3 linked regions of the Styela clava genome follow. The protein of the gene in region 3 purifies or fractionates together with the protein of the main gene of each other region. This does not show direct contact. Links are inferred from orthologs where the notes say so. Each region holds a gene or a part of one and is shown on either strand. Other genes may lie near its edges.

What was found. The genes of interacting proteins can lie anywhere in the genome.
Region 1: the proteins of serine/threonine-protein kinase PRP4 homolog (region 3) and uncharacterized protein LOC120326115 purify together in Homo sapiens (affinity purification with mass spectrometry; 5 studies listed by BioGRID and IntAct, counting the BioPlex papers as one, with this or other methods). This does not show direct contact. The link is inferred for Styela clava from reciprocal best matches to the Homo sapiens genes PRP4K and PNN.
Region 2: the proteins of serine/threonine-protein kinase PRP4 homolog (region 3) and U4/U6.U5 tri-snRNP-associated protein 1-like purify together in Homo sapiens (affinity purification with mass spectrometry; 3 studies listed by BioGRID and IntAct, with this or other methods). This does not show direct contact. The link is inferred for Styela clava from reciprocal best matches to the Homo sapiens genes PRP4K and SART1.

What each region holds. Positions count from the first base shown.
Region 1 is NC_135253.1:385,689-393,638, forward strand, and holds the start of uncharacterized protein LOC120326115, read left to right. Parts: upstream 1-4,846; 5' UTR 4,847-4,933; coding exon 4,934-5,046; intron 5,047-5,659; coding exon 5,660-5,731; intron 5,732-6,005; coding exon 6,006-6,080; intron 6,081-7,950. UniProt on the Homo sapiens protein: Transcriptional activator binding to the E-box 1 core sequence of the E-cadherin promoter gene; the core-binding sequence is 5'CAGGTG-3'. Capable of reversing CTBP1-mediated transcription repression.
Region 2 is NC_135255.1:12,625,884-12,633,684, reverse strand, and holds the start of U4/U6.U5 tri-snRNP-associated protein 1-like, read left to right. Parts: upstream 1-4,697; 5' UTR 4,698-4,707; coding exon 4,708-7,053; 3' UTR 7,054-7,801. Other genes in the region: 40S small subunit processome assembly factor 1-like, read left to right, coding at 2,878-3,582. UniProt on the Homo sapiens protein: Plays a role in mRNA splicing as a component of the U4/U6-U5 tri-snRNP, one of the building blocks of the spliceosome. May also bind to DNA.
Region 3 is NC_135256.1:9,398,477-9,405,452, reverse strand, and holds the start of serine/threonine-protein kinase PRP4 homolog, read left to right. Parts: upstream 1-3,946; 5' UTR 3,947-4,002; coding exon 4,003-4,474; intron 4,475-5,166; coding exon 5,167-5,398; intron 5,399-5,600; coding exon 5,601-5,717; intron 5,718-6,001; coding exon 6,002-6,103; intron 6,104-6,891; coding exon 6,892-6,976. UniProt on the Homo sapiens protein: Serine/threonine kinase involved in spliceosomal assembly as well as mitosis and signaling regulation. Connects chromatin mediated regulation of transcription and pre-mRNA splicing.

The DNA.
Region 1 (7,950 bases), on a different chromosome or scaffold from region 3:
TGCAATTACAAAATGTTTCAATATATCACGTCAAAACAAATATGGCATATTCTGTATTGTATTGCTCTTCAAACCAGAAATTCTTCTACTCTTGTGAACAAAGTTTCATGTTTTCAGATTACAGATCCATCTCAAGGGAGTGTCACTATTTATGACCCTGTTGGCCATGAAGAGAGTTATGCTGAAACGCTGATGGAGAATTGGAGGTTTGTGGTTTTCTGCTTGACTAAATGATTATTGGCTTGTAAACACTCACAGATTCATTTTAAATTATCATGCCCTTATTGAGTTCAACGATAGAACATCAATGTTTTAGTCATGCATTCAAATCTCTACTAGTGTTATCTGAATTTTAAAACATCAAAAACAGATTACCGAAACTGTATGGATCGTACGAGTTTTTTGCACTGAGATTGCAAGCTAGGTATGAAAGCTCATATTAGCAAGAATATGCAGTTCTTAGAACACTTCAAAAAAAAAGTTAAGGATCTAGAAATGAAATTGTTCCTATGTGTTGTGGGACTAATCAGGGCTGTTCTTTTTTTTACGTTTTCTCCCAGGAAATTTTGGAAATACCATGGAGGTGACAAAAGAGATTGGAGACTGTTAACAAACAAGCATAGTGAACAAGAAGATGGGTTTAATTGTGGAATTTTGGTTGTGAAGGTACATCGGGTCCAATTTGTTTTTATAGTGGTATTATTAAACTGATAAGGATGCACACAGGCTCATTACGGTAGATCTTTAAATTTTCATTTATATTTGTGAGTAAACATTTACTACTAGTAGTACTTTATATTGATACCACCACCATTCAACTGGAACCTTATTTTTAAATCATCTCATTGGTGCAAATCTATAGAAATATGAGTTGTTTTATTTTTTTACATTCTAGGCTGCCGAAGCAATCTTAACAGGTTGTACAACGGATTTCAATCATTCGACAGGCATCTGTAAAGTCTACAGAATCCATTTTGGAGACCTTCTGTTGGAAGCCACAGGTGCATTATTATTTTATTAACTAGGTCTAAGCATAAGTCATTTTTATTCAAGTGTGGAGAGCAGTGCTGGAAGTCGAGTAACAACTAGCACCATAACATCTATGCGGTCACGGATATGTTGGTAGCACACAGCTATATTTTGATGATATTTAGAACTTTCTTTTGAACATGGCTGAGTGGGTTATAAAACCAGAGCCCAGAGCTTTAATTTGATGATATTGAAAAATGGAATGGAAAAGGAAGTTAATTAAGTATCGGATTGAGGTCAATATTGATCGTGTATGCAAAGAAATTTTACTCATTTTTGCGGTTGGTTAGAATCTGAGGAGGAATATACATGAACATGACTATATTAGTTAGGTATTTGCAATCCTACATTTGTTTTCCTTCATCTTTTAGATGTTGATGAGCTGGCACACTTTTGTGTGGGCTGTAATGGCAGGACTGCCCCTGATGGTGGCACACTTTGGGTAAGGTCAAACATTTTCCTTATGGATGCAGTTTTGATGGATAAAGTAAAGTAATAATTTTGTTGTAGGTCGAATGTGATGGATGCGAAAGGTGGTGCCACCAATATTGCGCAGATTTTGCGGGTAACGAAGAGTTTTTCTGTGAACACTGCACATAAAACTTAGTTTTTGTGTAATTTTCTTTAATAAAATTTATTAACATGCACAATGTCATACTTCTTTTTTGGAATTTGAAGTTCGCTAGTTGAGGTTCCTCATCTGCCTGTAAATATTATAGAAATATTCGAGAATTGTCTTAACAAATAGTTGACATATCTAAGTGGCTTTGTCATAAAAGGATTCCAGTGTCAACGATGGAGATAGTGAGTGTGCAAGAAGCTGTAGGGGCCAACTGTGGTACGCAATCAGCTTTAAATTATTGCAACAACAAACCCTTATGTTGGGTAATTTATGAGAGCATTACCCTCTCTCTTTTTTATCGCATGCAATCCATTTATTGTTTTCACGGATTGCCCTCACCCGCCACTACACCCCTAAAACGAGAGAGACTGGCATGTTTTCATTTTAAGTTAAAAGTTATCTGTCTGTATTGGGAAATCAGAAACTAAGATAAAATAATATGTTGTTACTGCATATAATTAATGCAACTGGTTATAATTTGTCCCTGAAAAAATGGATGTAGTGCCACATTATAAAATACTTCCATTCCCGTTTTCTTACAAAGAGTGGCTTTTTCGGGGTAAAGGAAAAATTCAAGTGGTACCGGTTCGTAGAAGGTTGAGAACCCCTACTGTAGATGAATCGCCTAGCAGAGTAAATGCAACTTTAATCAAACCCAACCGACACAATTTTACTCTGGTAGTACTGCGATCTAATTTGAATCAATATGACTAAAAAAGACACAGCGCAAATGATATACAACATTATTTATTGCCAGAGGAAGTAATTGCACCTTACTTCCAACCAGCCATTACTTCCTGACCAGAGTTGGATCAATTACACTAATTCAGTTCAATAACAAATACAACTACTCCCTTAAATGTTTCAATTACATTACAATTACTCCGTGCAAAAAATATCAAACTGCATTTACAATTATAACATTTTGGTTCGTATTTACATTTTCCCTTGCTCAAGAACTGTTGGATTGCACTTGATGAAGATTAGGCTGCGAAAAGTTTCTGAACCCAATAAATTTCTTCATGCTGTATAAAAGTTATCCGCAATTGAAAAAACTCTTTCTGACGGGGCTGATGTTGCTGTAATTCAGCGTGGGAAATTTTTCTGATTTCTTCTTCCAATACATTAATTGGTCTTCATCAAATTGCAAAATTTCTTCCCCCAAATAGCTATTTACATCACTTTCTGATTTTCTTGGTCCTTTCCTCTATTTATAGATATAGATGGGAGAACATCTCTTCAAGTGCGTTTGATGAAGCCTTCTTTGAAGTTGTTACAGCCTGCCTCAGTGCTGCTCAAAGATTTAAAAAACTTTGACAATGGTGCAAGAAGTGGTTCAACACATGTTTCGGAAGAGTTTGTTTGATGTTCATCCATTTTCAAAATACTAAGATTTAGTCTAATTGAAAGTGTAATTGAGCCAGAATTTTAGCAAATTACAGTTACGATTACACAGAATGAAAATGCCTCCATTCAGTCATTACATTACAATTACATAAAAAACTGTAAATAATACCATCAGTTACAAATGATCCAACTCTGCTTCCAACTGCACCCTACCGGTACCGTACTTCAAAGCAATATACACCCAAGGATGACTTCATTTGTAACGCCAAAACAATTCCCTATTACTCTTATTACAAAACAACAAACAACACTGAATGCTAATCTCGCTTCTTCAGTTGATGGCAGCAACCAACTTGTCGCCGCGCTCCCCGTTATCCCGCCGTGGTAATGTGCAATTAACCACAAGGTTCCCCACTATCTTCCACTGTTCATGGCGAGAAATCTTTCGCTACCACAGGTTATTCCTACCTGCCGTAACCGCGGCAGCTCCTGCCGTGGTTACGGCAGCTCTTGCCGTGGTTACGGCAGCGTAACTACGGTTCATGGCAGTATAATTTCACCTGCCGTGGTTTTCAATTTGCTGCCGTGGTACCCCGCCTCACGCCATTGTTTGTGGCAGCTTGAAAGTTAGCCGCCGTGGTTTGGTCATTGTGGCCATGGTTTGGAGATTCCGCCATGGTTTTGCGGCAGCTTCAGATGCCGCGAAATACTTAAAACTGCACTTGCCTCTTCGGCATCGTCGAGCGTCAACGATGCCATGATCTCATTGATGATACCTACGATATCTGTCTTATTGCAGAATTGATAAAGTGCTCAACCGCATGCACTTCTATACTTAACTGTTTGTGATACCCGCACCTTTTCTGCCTCGTATATCAGCACAATACATACCTTACATACTGCATCTATCATCCATTTACTTGTCGTTAACTCGTATAAACCTCTTTTTAGTATAAGCATCTTTTCTCTTCAAACCGGTACCGGTAAGTCGTTGGTTTATTTTTTACCGGTACGGTAGTTGTTCCCGGAAAGTGTTGACGCGGCAGCGAGCCGTCACCGGTATTTTAATTTCGGAATCCATCTACGGAAACGGGGTCTCGTGTCAGCGTGTAGTGTCGTAACTCAAATCAGCAAGTACTTTCGGTGGGCAGAGCATTGGTACCGGTACCGGTAACGATTTTTTGCAGATAATAATCCTAACCCCAACCTGACTACCGTACCGGTACGCCATCCAAAAGCATGTCACTTTATTACTGTATTATGCGGACCCTAGGTTATGCAGTTATTGTACCAACATGCTGACATGCCTATTTCAGTACCGTAATTTAGTATAACTAAAATGATATTATGAGCAAAATCACAGGAGACCGTAGCGTTATTTTTAATAAAATATGATTATAGTCTACATTCTACATATCGGTACAGGCCTAGTTGGAATTGATGCTATTTCCAGGGAACAGCAAACTGAAAAATGTAACGTTATCCGCGGCGGTGTGGCTCAACGGGCTAAGCGTTAGGAATACGCTCGCCACCGCACCTCTAATTACTCTGCGTGGGTTCGCAGGTTCGAATCCCATGCAGGGATGGTTATGTGCGAGAGGATTGCTGGACTCCTCGCCGTCGTTGGGTGGTTCACGTAACCGCTGGTCGGTTACGGCTTCCTCCACCACCAAGTCCATGCTTCCGAAAAACAAACAATACAGTAAAAACTAATCCCATACCCGACTTGGAATGGTAACCGGACGAGAGGCCGTGGTTCGCCATATGGATAAGCCGTCTTATCGGCTTTCCTCTCCCCCGGGATAAATATGTAAATCCTATCCTATCCTATCCACCTTTCTTCCACTTCTGTACTTTATGTATTTAACAGTTTCAGCTTTTTAGTGGCAACTGACTAGGAAATACAGGATTCTCATCACCTCGCATAGTAGCATAATGTCTCTGGCACTGAATAGTTTGAAAGAGCAGATTGAAAAAGCAAAAGAAAACCTGAAAAGCGTAGATGAAAACATCAAAAAAATAACAGGAAGGGACCCAAATGAACCAAGGTAAAATTAGTGTTTCGAATCTCATTCTTGTGGTTATCACTGTATCATTATTATTCTGGATTATTTGTTACCGGTATGTGTCAGTATTGGTACGTTGTTGTTTTCTTGGGTGGGTGGGCAAATAATGAAAATAAGCCTAGTGCTGTAGTGTTTATTCAAATTTCCATTAGGTAGAATGGTAGGATAAAATTAAATTAAATTTGCTGCCTTGGGACCAGGAGTATAAAACTCAGTAAACCAATTGATTTGCACTTGCTAGGTTTAGGGTCGAAAAAATATATTCCTATTCTACCGCTGTACTATCGCTGTATTGTCTATCCATTCTGCCATTTGCATTGTGAGTGTGTTTTTTTTCACTCTGTCACGTGCAAACATGAGCAAACTGAATAAAAGCAAAATTACATTATTTTAAAATCATCACCCACATGAACAAGTTTTTACTTCATCATCAGTCATTTGGTGTTTTATAATAAAGTACGGAATACACAGCACCATGACAAATCACTATATGTCATCAGTTCAAGCTTCATCGGCTCTTTAGTTAGAAAGTTGTTAAATGATACTAAAGTTGAATAGGCCATATAATATCAATGTTGTTGCATGATGATTTCAGACCAAATATTGAAAATCGAAGACTATCTGGTGGTGCATCTCGCAACAGAGAGACTGGAAACATTTTAGGACGGTGAGTGTTTTATCCTCGTTATTTTCAAAGCATTCAATTTTAGAGCAATCATCTTTGAAAGAAGGCAACTGTATATAGGACATGACATTAATCATCATGGAAAGTAACAAGATGTCAATATGCCAGGATGGTGAATTATGATCTCACTTGTCAAATCACCAAGTTAGAGCCTAAAATAAGTTCAATTACACGATGAGTGATGGTTCTTCTTTTGAAGTGAAATTATTTTAATTGAGAAATGTATGTCAATGTATAAATTAATCTGTACTTGCAGACGAGAAAGAGATGTTCAAACTTCAAAGATACAGGATTCAGAGCCTCCAAGAAAGAAACTAGCTGTGTTCAGCAGGTATTGGTGGATGTCCTCGTATGTCTAGAATAGTAGTCTACTCGTCAACTGTACTCCCAAGTTTTTGTTATCTGCTTGGCGTAGTACCCTTTTTGTAGCAAACTGCTCATTCCTAACTGCACTCGAATGAAACTTGAAATGAGGAGAGGGTTGTTAATTGAGGAAATGTTATTCGGTTTTTAAATTTTCCTAGCATAATATTTGAGGACAATATTCCTGTTGTTGATGTGGAGGTCTGGTGAACTTCTTGAATCACGGTCAGATTTGGCACAAAAGGGCAAAGGCAAAAATTCCAAAACTACGACAAAGTCTGTCGTCCGAATGACTACAAAATCTACAATATACTTTTATCTAACAACTTATTTTTCAATCCCATAAAAATTATGAAAAGAAATTTGCTTGACTGATCGGGGACACATTTACATTATTTGGACGGGCATTCAAATTAAGGTTATACTTCATTTTGTACAACTTGCTGATGAAATCCAGGAGTAAAGTTTGCATTAGACCAGTGGTTCCCAAACTTTTTGTACCATCGCCCCCCTACAGTAGTTTATACAAGTTCATCGCCCCCCGGCACTGCGAAAAAAAATGTAAAGTCTGAAACGAATATATTACAGACCGAATAACGAGACAAATCATAGTTTATAGTATTTTTTAATGAGATGGATGAGCTTGGTGTTCTTCAGCGAGTTTTTTATAATATCTAAAATTACCTGTTTACTGAAGGAAAGGCGATTTCGTTGTTTTGATAGCAATAGTAGCACAGATGAAAACCCCTTTTGTAATGGTTTGTCAAATTTTGATAAAGATTTTCTTTAAGATACACTCTTACAAAAATTAGGCAGTGATGAATCCCTCGAATAGAATATGAATTTTATTTCATTATTGCATTGCAATATATTCTAATATTTACTGCGCTATTGAACCCCTGCACTCAGCATCAACTTTTCTGCATGTTTCCAATTGTCTAATTATAATTGAATTGAAGGCTCGTTAAACGAGAAGCTGTTTAATATAATTTTAAGAATATAATAAAATTTTGTCTAATCGTGCCTCACGATAAATTCTGTTACACAAGAAAATGTAATTTACTCCTCGAGCGTAGATTGTAAATGAAATTAATTCATTGCCAAAACCGCCGTTTGGATGTTTCCCCGGGCATAGACTTCCTTATTTACTTCGTGACATTGGCCTTTCAGCAAGATGCAAAAATAAACGGAACAATGCCCCCTTTTGCATCCGCTCAGACACATTTCTCACTCAGACAGATTTTCAGGCGTGGTCGTGAAAATTACCGGTACCTCATTTTCGCGTTTCTGAATTATATTTGTTAGTTTTTAGTTATTTTTCGGAAATTTAAATATAAATAATTTAAGTCAATGATCACTTTGTCTTCCCAGAAGTTTCAGTTTATTTACAGTAGGCAAAAATTTGGTGTAGAAATATCTTTGATAGACTAGGCTAAAATTCTTTACTGGTACTTTTAAAAAACAGATTGTTGAATGGTATGAATTAGAATGATAGTTTGAAACAAATACCCTGTTTTACAGGCAACAACTCGCAAAACCACTCTTAAAATACGCACCGAAAATTTTAAAATGGTAAAGTATAGGAAAAATTTCCCGGGGTCGAAGGTCGGGGAACGGTCCATTCAGTGGAGCGTCCCGTGACTGATTATTTTACTTCGGCGGCTGTATTTTGCCGACCACTGGGATACGGAAACGACTGTATCTTACTGCGAAGACGAGTCCAGCAATCCTTTCGCGTGTGATAATCGCCTACGTGATTCAAACATACGAAGAGTACAGTAATCAAGTGCACGATGCGCCGAACAAAAACAGGTTTCTAGAAATCGCCCCCTTCGACT
Region 2 (7,801 bases), on a different chromosome or scaffold from region 3:
GTAGTATATATTTACGGCGCAACGCATGCTCGTATTTTTGAGATGGTGAACAAGAGGTCACGAGTGCTAAAATCCTCTAGGGTAGGAACCACTGATATATAACAAAAAATTAGGTTACTTATTATAAGTTTCCGATTGCGCTAATTGAAATGTTCAATAATATGAGGTTCGGCAGAAGAATGCAGCAGTGAACACCCCCCCCCCCTATAGGGGGTGAACACACCCCCTAAAATTTCAGTTCTGAAGGAATACAACATTATGCGCCATTATGATCAGTTGACGCGCGTATTTCGAAATTTAATTCATCGCTTGATTCGTACAAAAGTCAAACGATCATGTTCAAAAAATGTGAAATGTGTAACAAAACAAGCCATAAGTAGCCATTCATACGATGCCATATGCTAGATGAGCAGGTAACTTCATTAGTCACTATAAGTCGTAAATTACTTGCTGAAAGCCGGGCTTGTTATTTATTCCTCGGGAATTCTATCAGCTAAATATTATAATTATTAATTTCATTACATAACAAACTGCGATGCTAGATGTATCTAAAATCAAGCTTAGAACCTATTTTGGTGCCTATTTCTCAAAATTTTCAGCCGTGAACCCCAGCCGTGTCGTCGCGCACTTTTCGCTCGCCTTTTCTGGCCCTACATTTTTATTCTGCTGTGTATTTTGGCTCGCCGTCAATCAACTTGGGAGCCCCCTCATGTACATTGTTTCTTAAATACATACCAATTTTTTGAAAGTACAAATAGTTTCATCGCAATAGCAAATTATTTTCCACCCCCTAAACTTCGAAACACCCCCCCCCCCCTAAAATGAAAAGCTGGGGAACATACTGGCTTGCAGAATAGCCCAGGTGTTCGGAAGGCTTGCAAATGTTTAGAACCACTGCATAGCACAACCCACACTCATAAAGTCACTACAAAACGAAATGACTTTTATGTATCCACTTGTGTATACTCACGAAACATAAGCTGTTAAAGTTTTACGTACTCAGCTTGATCTTTTACATCGATTTTTGTCTATTTTCTATATCCAGGGCTGTGGATTTTTTTACTATAATAAAAACATCACATTTATATAAACACAATATTACGTAAATATCATTGCACTTAAAAAACGAGCTTTTTGTAAATTTCCACCTCTTCATCATGCGGATTAACAGTTTACCATTTTTAGTTGCAATACTTTTTTCACAGTTAATAATATTTTTATCGTATATAAAATTTGACAAAATAAAAACCCTCCATGACGAAGTTAACATATGTATATATGGAATAATTGTTACATAATAAAACACAATATGTGGATTCGGGATCGGATATTTTTTGCCATTAATGGAGTTGAAACCGGAACAGAAATTTCACAACCCTCGGTGTCTCAGTTCAGATTTCCATAAACAGATACATGGCGGTCAGAATCAACATTTTCAACATAAACTGAAAAACACTAAATTGCTTTCACTACTGATCTGGACTGAGAGGCGTGGGTCAATTTTCGTGAATATTTTTTTTATATTTCATCACCAAATGCACACCGGTGCTGATCACAGAGGGATTCAGGACTCCGAGCAGCATGACTCCGTTTTTTTGACAAGCAGGAGTGCAAATCAAAATGACTATAGGCTAGTCACTTTGGTGCAGATAAATATATTTCAGTTTTTTGTGTGAATGACAGTTCATCGTGAGCGAAACTAAATCCTAAAATGTGATGTTGTAAATTTTATTGTTTTGTCTCAAGCTCAAATACACGTTACCACAACCTAATGTAGACGGTGACACTGTGTAGGTGAACGGCTGATTGATTGTCACGATTGTAGCTGTAGTAGGTACCTACCACCAGGCTACGGATTGTGTAGAACAGTGGTTCTCGAACTTTTTGAAAAATAATGCATAACGGTTCCCTTTCAATTTTTCTGATGACTCGTGGTCCACCAAAGAAATTATAACAACGCAGTATATCAAGCATTCATCTATTGAATGACATTAAGAGTGTTCAATGAGATGTGTGCGCCTGCTCAGCTCCCACTAGTTAGTCTACCTTGGGTTCTGTTTTGGATAATGCAACTCTCATATCTTGTTTTAATAGTGAGTAACATAGAAAAAGATGCCCGCACATTCGTAAGTTGTTGCAAATGGAATGAAGCAGTTTTAGTGACATCGGGATTGGACGGTCCAACTATGGTCTTTTTTTCCTCCAGAACTATCACAGCAAAACCAAATTTCACATATGAATTGTTATATCTAAATTTATTTTTTATGGCGGGCCGCGGGTCTTATTTTTAATCAGATGCGCGCGCCTTCCATAAACCACACACTCCGATTTACGGTACTTGCCACTTTCCCCAACATTTGTTACGTAACACAGTAATAATGTCTTTGTTAGAGCGTGTCATGCTTTGTAGAAACACTGTAAAAGCAAGACATCAAAACTTTACTTCAGATCAAAGTGCTTCTGTGCCGAGATTAACGCTGTCTCGCGGTCTCCCTAAAATCGCTTCACGGACCCCTAAGCGACCGCGGACCCCAGTTTGAAAACGAATGGTGTAAAAGGACTAGGGATAGCTGAATACATACTTCAGTATGGGGGCCCGCTGCTCAGTACAGTGCTCTGCACGGGAGGCGGACAGCTCAACTACAGGACTACGGTACTTTCTAGTGCAACGCTTCAAGAGGGCAGTAGGGTACCTGTATGTCGCAGTGGTGTAAATTTCGATTTTTAAAGGGCTCCAGTGGCATGGAAACACACAAATTTATGTGCACAAGTGACATACAGACAAATTTTGAAATCAATTTATAACAAAAATGTATCATCTAATTTCATATCATTTACGGTACTGTTTCTCTTATTTTTCAGGCTTGAATCGCGAAAATGACTAAACGTAGGCGCCATAAGATGGAAATAAAGGACAAAGTGTCCATGAAGGAAGCAGATAATGATAAAATTTTAAGTATTTTGGATAAATATGCTTCAGAATTTTTAGGTGAAACACAGCCTAAAGAAACACAACCCAATACCCCCATAATTCCATCCACGGTGATGACGAAAGAGGAAAATGATAATAAATTAAAAAAGGAAGTTGAAATTGTCATATTTAAAAGTAAAAAAACTAAAAATGAAGAACCGGAAATAAAAAAAGCATCACCAACTATTGTTGGTACAGACTCACAGTTCAATATTCCAAAGTCTAAATATACAAATGAAAGACTAAATTCTTCGGAAGTTTTAGAAAAATTAAAATTCAGCGTTGGCTCGTTTGGAATGAAGGCATTTTCGAAAGAAGAACAGAGAGAACATGAAAGAAAAAGAGCAATAAAACTTGGAGCAAAACCGACAAAACGGAAATATGTTAATTATAAAATTCTCATGGAAGAACAAAAAAGATTGAAACAAGATACAAGTTCTGGCAATAATATATTGTCGAACAATAGAACCGAATATAAAGAAAAGACGAGTGGCATGCCGAAATTCTGGAAACAAGGCGATAAAAGTTTGAATCCGCAAATTGGAAAATATAAGGATGGAGTTTTAAAACTTTCATCAAAAGATATTAAATCTGTAAACAGGCGCCGATAATAAATTCTGCTTATTTTGATATTTCCCATTGACTTGATGCATTACATTTTAAACCAATTCTCAGATATAGATCATGAAAGTCATTTCCAATAGAGCACAGTCTCCTGATGCCAAGATCTGTCTATATTTGGTTCAATAAAACTAACACTCTATTTGTCTCTGTAACGAGGGTGTCTGGTACGGCGGTAATTTGCGCCATGCTTGTCTCGATAATAATTTTACGTGTGTCTGCCATCATGTGACCAAAATATTTCTGTCAACATTTTTTTGCTAAAAACTCTTGAATCCTACAGTAAAATTTTTTTTTTTTGGTAAATTGTATTATTTTTGGGAATCCAATGGTCAATGGTGACATTTTCAGATTGTGTATCCTTCAGTTTATTTGCACAGTGCCAGTTTGGCGATATGGAGGCCCAGACTGTCTCATAAAGGAGCGGTTTGCATTCACTGGTATAATTGATGTCTTCTAATGTTGGGGTTATTCTTGAAATTGGAGAACTGTACCATACTGCATTTCTATTGATACTTTTGCAAGTTTGAGGAATGTGTAGTTGATCAGTGAACTAACATATAATTATACTCTTTTACAAGTGTAGTATACAAAAATGAATCAACGTGGAACGATTAATGTTATTCCAATGATTTTCATTTGTATTGGTTTCATACAAAAACACTGTATATTATCATGTTTAACTTTGGACCAAATGAGTTGAACTAGCATCTATTTGTTGTAATGTCAATAAATTCTCAGATTTTCAAGTATAAAAAAAGGAAATAAATTAATGCATGGAACGAGACGGCAAGTTTTGTGAATGGTTATTTCACAATTTTAAAGTATATCAATAATATTGAAATTGAATATTCATTCATTTTGATGGAAACTTCGCCCAACAAAATGATATCATCGATTTGAGACCTGTTGCCGAATATAACAATTTCATGCGAATGTTAAAAACTTTGTTGGGCATATTAAAAAAAAATGCATTGTAATACTGTTGAATTTGGTACGTCATTGATGTATGTATTACATTTTTGATTTACTATCCATATGTGGCCTAGCCTTAATTGAATAAACGAACTGTTACTTTAATATTTACAGGTTAATTCTTAATTATAATAAATACGATGGGATCATCTAAAAAGCATAAGAAAGACCATAAACATCGAAAGCACAAGCGTTCAAGTCCTGCATATGATGATGAAGAGAGAGATGAAAGTCATAGTCCAGAAGAAAAAAAAAGAAGACGTCATGACGATGTAGAAACAGAAAAATCATATTCTAAACAAAAAAAACATAAGAAAAAACACAAGAAACAAAGTGAACGAGATCGAGATTCTGAATCCCCCCAAAAGTTGGAATCTGAACGTAATGGTAAGTCAAGACAACATCATGCTGAACCCACTCCAACATCAGCTAATGGCGAAGGTGACTCACTCAGTATTGAAGAAACAAATAAGTTGAGGTTAAAACTGGGACTCAAACCTCTCGACGTCGGTGGATCTTCCGGTAATGCAACCGAATCAAAGAAAGAAGAATTTGTTCATGCTCCTGCTGAAGATTTGTGGGAAAAGAAAAAACAGGATGATATTAGAGAAAAACTACGAGCCATTAAAGAAAAAAGAAACTTAAACAAAAAAATGGGGAAAATCAAGACTTTGGGAGAAGAAAATGAAGATGAAAATGATGCGGTATCTTGGGTAGAAAGAAGTAGAAAAATGGAAAAACAAAAAAAGGTGGCTGAAAAACGAGAACAAGAAATGGCTAAAATGGATGCAGAATTTGGTATTGGTGGTTTAATAGACAATGAATTTGCCGATGTAAAGAAAGACTCATACACATCTCGTGATTTGCAAGGCATTACTGTAAAACACTCCTTAGAAATGTTCAAAGAAGGAAGATCAGAAATTTTGACTCTCGAAGATAAAAATATACTTGAAGAAGATAAGGATGATGTTCTTGTTGGTGTAAACTTGGTTGATACTGAAAAAGCAAAACGAAATTTGGACGTGAAGTCCAAAGGTTCTGGATACAAAGCTTATGATGAGGAAGAGGTTGATGAAATGGGATTTTTTAAACAAAAGTCTATGCTTTCGAAATATGATGAAGAAATTGAAGGAATCAAGCAAGAGAAATTTACTATCGGTAATTATGGAAAAGTTGATACGACTTGGGAACAACAAAAAATGATGATGAAAAATGAAATTAAAGCTAAAGGAGTCAGCTTAGCACTCCCTCAACTCAAAATTGCATCTGAATATTTGACTGAAGAGGAAATGACAAAGTTCAAAAAACGAAAAAAGAAAGTGCGAAAAGTAAGAAAACGTGATCTAAAACCAGACGATCTACAACCTCTACCGGGTAGTTCAACATCATCTGATTTTGGTTCTAGAAGTCGAAATCAACGAGGAAATATACCTGGATGGGATGAAGGTATTGAATCTGCAAAAGTGGATGACACAAGTATAACATCTACAACTTTAATGAATTCGAAGAAAAATGTCATTTTTGACGAGGATGATGCCAGTAATGAACTTCAAAAAGCATTGGACAAAGCAAGACGGGCAAAACAGGTTAAATCAAACATGGTTACTGAGGATGTCGGTGCCAGTAAAGTCGTCGAACATTTAGACCTTTTAAATAAAGTTTCATTTGAAAATCCAATGGCCAATTATTCTACAACTATATCTTTAAATTCAACTGATGAATTTTGTCGTCAGCTCGGAACCGCCTCAGATTTGAATGTTATTAAAGAAGTGCCTATGGAAGAGACTTCCATGGACGACAGCGTTGATATGGACGTGGAAGATGAAGAAGAAGAAGAAGTTACGTCAGGATGGAATTTTGTGAACGATAAAGCCAAAGTTAAGCCAGTTACACAGGCAGAACCTGTCGATGATAGACATGCACCTATTGAAGCCGAGCCTCTTGCTGTAGGCGGCTTAGCCGGTGCACTAAAACTAGCCACGAGAAAGGGTTACCTGATGGAAGAAAAACCAAAAAGCTCAGTCACAATAACTAGTAAAAATATTGACCTGCTTTCTGCAAACTATTCCATTGAAGACAAAAACGCAGTTGATCATTTGGATAAATACGCTCACGAAAAATACTCGAAAGACCGTAGTAATCGCTACGATCGTGGAATTGTAATGGATTTTGAAGAAAAGAAAAATTATAAACCTAAAGTAACTATCGAGTATGTTGATGAAGGAGGTCGATTAATGAATCCAAAAGAAGCTTTCAGAAAATTATCTCACAGGTTTCACGGCAAAGGATCGGGTAAAATGAAACTCGAAAAACGACAAAAAAAGAAAGGAGAAGAAGATATGATGTTGAAAATGAGTTCGACTGATACACCACTTAACACAGTAGCAATGATGAAAGAAAAATTACAAAGCGAAGCAAGTCCTTATATTGTTCTAAGTGGAGCTGGTAAAACATTGCAAGCTGGTGGTGGAGGGCTGAAGAAATGATTAGTATTATAATTGTGAGACATATGAAAAATGAAATCAATTTTCATCGATGCAAATCAATATTTTTGTGTTGTTGTCGGGACATTCTGTTGAGCCGTAAATCATTGCAGCTTCCAATACCTATTACAAAACACTTGCAGGGGTACCATAAACTTTGTCATTCTGATTATCTTATGCCTTCTTTGTAGCAGTTGATTGGCAGATCATATTATGAAAATCTTTTGATGTTATTTTGGGCCATATCATTTTAAATGCCTAAATTATTGTTAACATGCCCACAACAACTCTTGTTTTGATAACATTAGAAATGTACTCCCTGCTAGAAACTGCCCTGACTTGACTTGATTTATATGTTAAAAATGAAAATTACCATGTGATCCGCTGCTTATGTTGGGTGTTTTGCATTAGGATATTCTTTTGTCAGTGGTTGTTATCGGACATAATATGATAATATTTTAATTATTTTTAAACCTGCTATTCTGTTCTAAATTTCTCGCCTCAATCAACAAGATTGAATTTTGTATGGGTTATAAAGATTATTATTTGGTGATGGTGAATAGACACTGATAAGTTATTTTAGAAATGTTGTATAGATATTTGTTGTAAATTTTTCAAATTTCATAGGAAAGTAATACCAGAAGTACTAACTGTACAGGTATCTCAATCTAGTTTGATAGCACATAAGAAGACTCATTACCAGGGCTGGGAGTTATTATGAAAACACTTTTACCTTTGAAAATTGGGTGAA
Region 3 (6,976 bases):
AATTGACTATCGGGCCATGTTTATGCGATAATAAAAATATCTTCCCCCCATACAAACTTTTTCAAACTCGCTGTATTAACACTTTATTATATGTACTACTACTGGTGTTTTGTAAATGTGGGGCCCATAACTGCAAGACACTCATTTTTTGGGGCAAAAGAGGTATTTTGGCCATTTTTCTCATAAATTGACTATCGGGCCATGTTTATGCGATAATAAAAATATCTTCCCCCCATACAAACTTTTTCAAACTCGCTGTATTAACACTTTATTATATGTACTACTACTGGTGTTTTGTAAATGTGGGGCCCATAACTGCAAGACACTCATTTTTTGGTGCAAAAGAGGTCTTTTTGCCATTTCTATCATAAATTGACTATCGGGCCATGTTTATGCGATAATAAAAATATCTTCCCCCCATACAAACTTTTTCAAACTCGCTGTATTAACACTTTATAATATGTACTACTACTGGTCTTGTGTAAATGAGGGGCCCGTAATTGCAAGACACTCATTTTTTGGGGAAAACTAGTTCCTTTTGCCATTTTTTTTCAAAAATTGACTATCGGGCCATGTTTAAGCGATAATAAAAATATCTTCCCCCATACAAACTTTTTCAAACTCGCAGTATTAACACTTTATTATATGTACTACTACTGGTCTTTTGTAAATGTGGGGACCGTAATTACAAGACACTCTTTTTTTGGAGCAAAGAGGTCTTTTTGCCATTTCTATCATAAATTGACAAGCGGGTCATGTTTAAACGAGAATAGAAATATCTTCCCCCCATACAAACTTTTTGAAACTCGTTGTATAAACACTTTATTAAATGTACTACTGTTGTTTATGTATAAATGGAGAGTTATGATTGTAAGACACATCTTTTTGGAGGCAAAGTAGGTCTTTTTACCAATTTTATTAAAAATTGACGACTGGGACAGGTTTAAACGATAGTAAGTATCTCTTCCACCTATCCAATATTTGTCAAACTCGTTGTGTTTACTTCCCATTATAAACACTTATACTTGTCTTTCTTATACTAAGCGGATATATTTGTGAGACACTTATATTTTGGGGAGAACTGTGATTTTTTGGCAATTATTCACAGTTTTTATGATTAATCTGGCAACGCATAAAGCATCAGCTGATTTTGCATCGATGCCTTTTTCGTAAACTCTCGCATCGCTCGATTGAAATCTGAGTTCTGGCAACAGTGATCGGGGCGTTCAAAAACGAGAGAGATGTCTGCTGAGAGATGTCTGCTAGGGTAACTTTGGTTATACTTACCGGTATGCACCCCCTTTGGAAAATTTCAAAAATAGCCTAAATAAATCCCTTTCCTTAAAGAATGCCAAAATATAGGATTAGGACAGGTTAGGGTTGACAAGCAGTCGGTTGATTAACGTTTAGATTAATACGATACAGTAATACAGGTTTCTATCCATGAACTGCCGCTACCTTTACTACTATCTGACTATACCAGCTGCCTAATCCAGTAATCACTAATTTAAGTTAACTTAGTCTATAAAAAAATCTTTTTCGCTCTTTCTGCTCAAGAATTTGGATCAAGTTGATTTCTATAGTCCTGATGCTGATAATCTGTTTCTATCATGTTCCCCCTATTTCAGTATTTGTAAATTACAAAAAAACTTACATTAGATTAGATTAGTTCGTGAAACTCGGAGGGAGGGAGAGAGTTTATTTCTGTATTTGTTTTGTCCACCAGCAAACATATACACACAGACACAACAAAAACATAATTAATAGAAAGCCAAATACTGAAATAGTTCTCGGTACAGACTGGGTGGCAACGATACGACCATGCGGCCATCGTATAGACAGTTACCACTAAATACTGCAATATAAATTTCAATAAACATGAATAAAAAGTGCTTCAGATATCAGGATATAGTTTAACATATCTCAGGTGTCAGGGTGTGTCCAAAAACAACATTAAATTTCCATATAAAGAAAAATAAAATATATTAGTTACATTTAAGTTAAGCGTTAAAAGCTAAATAAAATGCCAGACAAGTTGCACATTTTATCAAGTGGGGCATTGGCCGAATTTGACATTAATATATATTTTTGAGTAAATGGCAGAATTTCAATTGTGTCTGTGTGTGGAATCGATTAATTCAGGGGTGCATGTTCACTAAACACTGTACTTCTAGTTGGCGTGGCAGGAACATAATATTTGCATATGTTATTCCTAACCCACACCTGGTTGCATCATCCAAAAATTATGTCACTACGCTGTCATAGAGCTTGCCAAGGAAAAGCTACAATCGCCTGAAATGGCATCTCTGCCAACGATAACGAACTCGCTAACGCCAGCGAGCTCTCTCATATATCGGGATCTTGATGGCGTTTAGTGAACTAGCCCCACTTCAAGTCTGCTAGTTGTGGAATACACAAAAACATCTTGTGTAAATGTTGAAAGACCTAAGGCAGCATATATACAGATATATAAAGCAGGCCTGCACAACTCAAATTATCACGAGGGCCGCAAGCATAAATCTGAAGGCCCGGCGGGCCGCAAACTTTGCCACATACATATTTCACAAGATGAACTGCAAATCAAAATGATATTGTGAAACAGTTAAATTTAATGAAACACTTTCATTACTGGGGAGCTTTAAAATATGAGGAATCTTATTTTCTTGAGTAAAAACAAGGTGCAGTATTTTTGCATATGAGATGGCAATTACGGTATGTATTTAGTGGTTCATCTACCTTGAAAACTCACCCTTCATTTTCAATATTTCTTTTTTATTAGAATTAGGTATTGCGTGTTGCAGTATAAACTGATTGCAGATAAAAATTATATTCAGGTTCAGTTTTTTAAAATCGTCCCAAATATCTGTATGACAATTTATTTAGTCATAAATACCATTATTAGATATTTCCATTGTAGGCTAGACAAACAATCCATTTAGTAGCAATAGATCTTCCTCTGTTGTACATTTTCGACTGTTAAATTACATTTTTCTACAAAATCTGATCCGATTTATTTGAAATTTTACAGTAAATAGCAATATTTTTTGTGCGAGAATTTCTGCACCATTCATAAATGAAGGAATTGTTTTTCAAGTTCTAAATTCGAATCAAAAGAGAAACTTCAGTTTCATAAACTGCTAGTAAAAAATAATGGGTTATTAATAGGTTGCTAATATGCACTAATGGGTGTGAGATTGTATACCGATATTGTTTTGAGCGTGATTCAGTCTGGATACTGAGATATCGAAATCAGGGTTTCCCAAATTGGGGGGCGAGGGGACGAGAGAGGAATTTTAGAGGTCACGCAGGGCACACCAGTTTCACACAAAGTCTGATATTTATTGAAACTATTGCAAAACATAAATCTCTCGATTTCGAATATGATCGGGGTAGCGGCGCGCTTGCATAACAATGCCGGCTTTGATTGTTAGACACGAGAAGTGGCGTGTTTCTAAATCACCTGTGGGCCGCACAGAAGTATCTAACGGGCCTCATGCGGCCCGCGGGCCGTATGTTGTGCAGGCCTTATATAAAGACATTAAAAAAATCGCTACAGATTAACAAGATAAATTTTGAGGCAAATTGCACAGACATAGTATAGTGGGTGATAATATAATCCAGCAATCTGTCGATTGGACAGAATGAGATGTGTGTCACTTGAGAGGATTTGTAGGAGCGGCGCTCCTACTTATTAAGCGATCCTCGTCAAAAGACCTTCATTCGACAGAGGGCGATATCAATTTATGTAATTTATTACAGCGATCGCAAGATGTTGTACGAGATTTGGGAAAAAACTGAAAATTCTGATTTATAAATTCCATAAAAAATATTTCACGCTGCGTCAGAAGTTATGTCGATCTCGCGTAGATCATTTTTTGCTAACTTCCGAGACTACGTCACTGTTGATTTTGTTTGTGCCAATAAAATCTCTCTCTTAATTTTCAGAATTGAGTTCATATTTAACTTCGAATGTCATACTGGTACTGGTGTCAATAAATAGACATGAAGACGCAGAAATCAAAAATGAAAGAAAGTAGTGATTCTGATTCTTTAGCAGAAGAAATAGCTCCAAAGGTGAAGAAAAGTCATAAACATAAGAAAAAACACAAAAAGAGAGCTTTAGACCATGAAGACCCTGTTGATGGTGTTATAGAAATCAGCGATGATGAAAAATCTTTAAAATCAAAAAAGCATAAACATAAGCATAAAAAAGCAAAGAAACATTCTTCCCGTAAGCGAGAATCATCATCGGAAGCAAGCGATGATGAACAATCGAGTAAAAAGAGAAGAAAAACAAAAAGTTCTGATGAAATTATTGAAGAAAATGGAAAGACTGAACAGAATGCATCTACAACGACTGGTTTTGATGGAGCATTATCAGATTTAGAGCAGCAAAAAGCTTTATTACAGGCTGCTCTCATGAATAATGTAGAAGAAGGAGAGGTTTCTGATGATGTTCAAGCAGATGGAGCAGGTAAATTACATTTTGCAGTAGAGTAATTTAATGTTTTGATCAACTTTTTATCAGTAGATCACACTTCTCCTTTACGAGACAGTCTGGTGGCTCCATATCATCGCAAATCAGTACTGCTCAATATACCGAAAGGACAAGCATTCTAAAATGCCATAAAATAATTTGATTTACAGAACGAAAACAAATTCTACCGTAGTATTCAATAGTTTCTAGCAAAAAACAGTTCACATGAGAGGATTTTGGTCACATGAAGTTTTGCACATGCTGCAATTGATTTATATTATTAACGCAAGAAACATGGCATGGTCTTGCAACTCTCCGCCATGCCAGACATCCTCGTTTCTGAGATAAATAATGTGTTTGTTATAAATATTACAATAAATATTGAAGTCTTGCCGTAGAGCACTCTGCTAAATTTTTTACACTGTTTTGGTTAGATGTTTTATTGTGATTGAACATTTGTCGTGCAGTGTTCAAACCTGTCTTTTCGATGACCATCTTACCATACATTCGACCATCAAACATCCGTTCAGTGATCCATGAATTTGTAGGCGTGTTGTAAATGAATAATCTGTGTTTTTAGTTAATATACACAGCGCAATTGACATTTTCTTGTAGTATTTCATGAATCACAAGCAAAATGATGAAAAACATAGGATTCTCTTTTAAAGCAAAATTGTTGTTTTTGGTAGAAATAGAAGCAAATGGTGAAGAGGAAGCAATACAAGATGATGATGATGAGAAAACTTCTACTAAACCAACAAAAAAGAAGAAAAAGAAAGATAAAAAAGATAAAAAGAAAAAGGAGAAAAAAGAGAAGAAATCAAAATCGCCACCTTCGATTAAAAGGGTTGAGAAACAAGTTGTCTCACCTACCAAACACAGTTCTAATGATGCAAGAGAAACAGAACATTCCAGAGCCAGGTATGAATTGATTTGTTTGGAAATTATTACTTGATTTAAGCTTATTAGTATAGTATGAGTTTCTGCGTATAGTATAGTATCTTGTGATTTTTATCTAGTACAGTTATGACAACTTTGCATCAGGGTATGTGTTACTTTATTACTTCGCATTTCTTCTGTATTCAAGATTCGCAATTCGCATGAGTGTACATATTTTTGTCAGGCATTATGAAGAGAGTCGTGACTCTAGAAATGATCGTTTGCTTGAAAGAAGAGATGATTCTTATGCAAGACGTTCTCATACTCATCACTCAGATAGAGATAGATTACATCGCTCGGGGTAAGTCAGAAATTATTCCAAAATTGGTAAACTTCCCCCTCAAACCCATCCTAGGCACAAGAAATTTATAAACAGGAAAATATCTACTGGTAACAGTTCCAAATAAGCCTCATTTTAATAAGCTATGATTCTATTTCTGACAGTTTCTCTGTAACCATTTCCATGAACATTTTTACTTCAAAGTTTCCCATTTATAAGATGTATGCATTCATATACATATAAATAGTGTGTTGAACTTGCCAAAACAAAAAAAAAATAAACATTTATCTCACTTTTTATTTTAGTGAAACTCGCAGAAGATCGCGTAGTAGATCGAGGGATAAAAGAGATTATCAACATTCGTCATCAAGTAGACCTAGCCATTCGTCATCAAGAAGAAGGTCAAGGTTAGAGCAATAAAATAGTTCCCTGTCATTCATTAATAACCTGTCAGGTTGTGCGCCATTTAGGTACACATACTTCGGGAGCTCCGAATTAAGGATATTAAAAACAATGTCATGGTACTTCAATATCTAAATAATTTAAATTTTTGTTTTTTCGACGCTTATTCATATTTTTTGCTCCGAACAAGCCTTGTACAATCATATACTGATGTTGTATAATATGTAATGAGCTACTATTTTTGGAATCTTAATTCGGCATCACCTATCCAATTTATTATACTCTGGGTGAAGGGGTGGTAATGGAATTTGAACCACTATGAGTGTATTAGAATCAACATAGTTAGGTCTAGCACTTTAACAACCACTCGGTCATCAATCCCTAGCCTATCTATTTAAATTCACGACAGATTGACGTCACATTTTATTATGTTGTGACCAATTCTTTCAATAGGAATTGTCACATTATTTTATATAAACAGTAATTATGTACTTGCTAATATTATTTTGGACGAATATTACCGGTAACTGATTATTCTTTTTTTTCTTCACACTTTATTTTCATTTTTTAGTTGACATGAAAAATTGTCCAAAATAAGTGCAAATGACTGTCTAGTTTTATGGGACATGTGTGTATCCTTCATATTGGTGGCTAACATCGAACAGATCCACTAACTTTGATTCAATAAATGGCCATGTCTTCAATTTAATCAATCAAAATTCCCAAGTACTGCTCATCTAAGGAAAGGATATAAAGAATACATTGCGAAAATTAAACAAATTTAATTTTTCAGGTCACGTCATCGCTCCCGTAGTAGAGACAGGCCCATGCGAAGATCTCGATCTAGAGATAGAGATGGAAGGAGACGAAGAGATGAT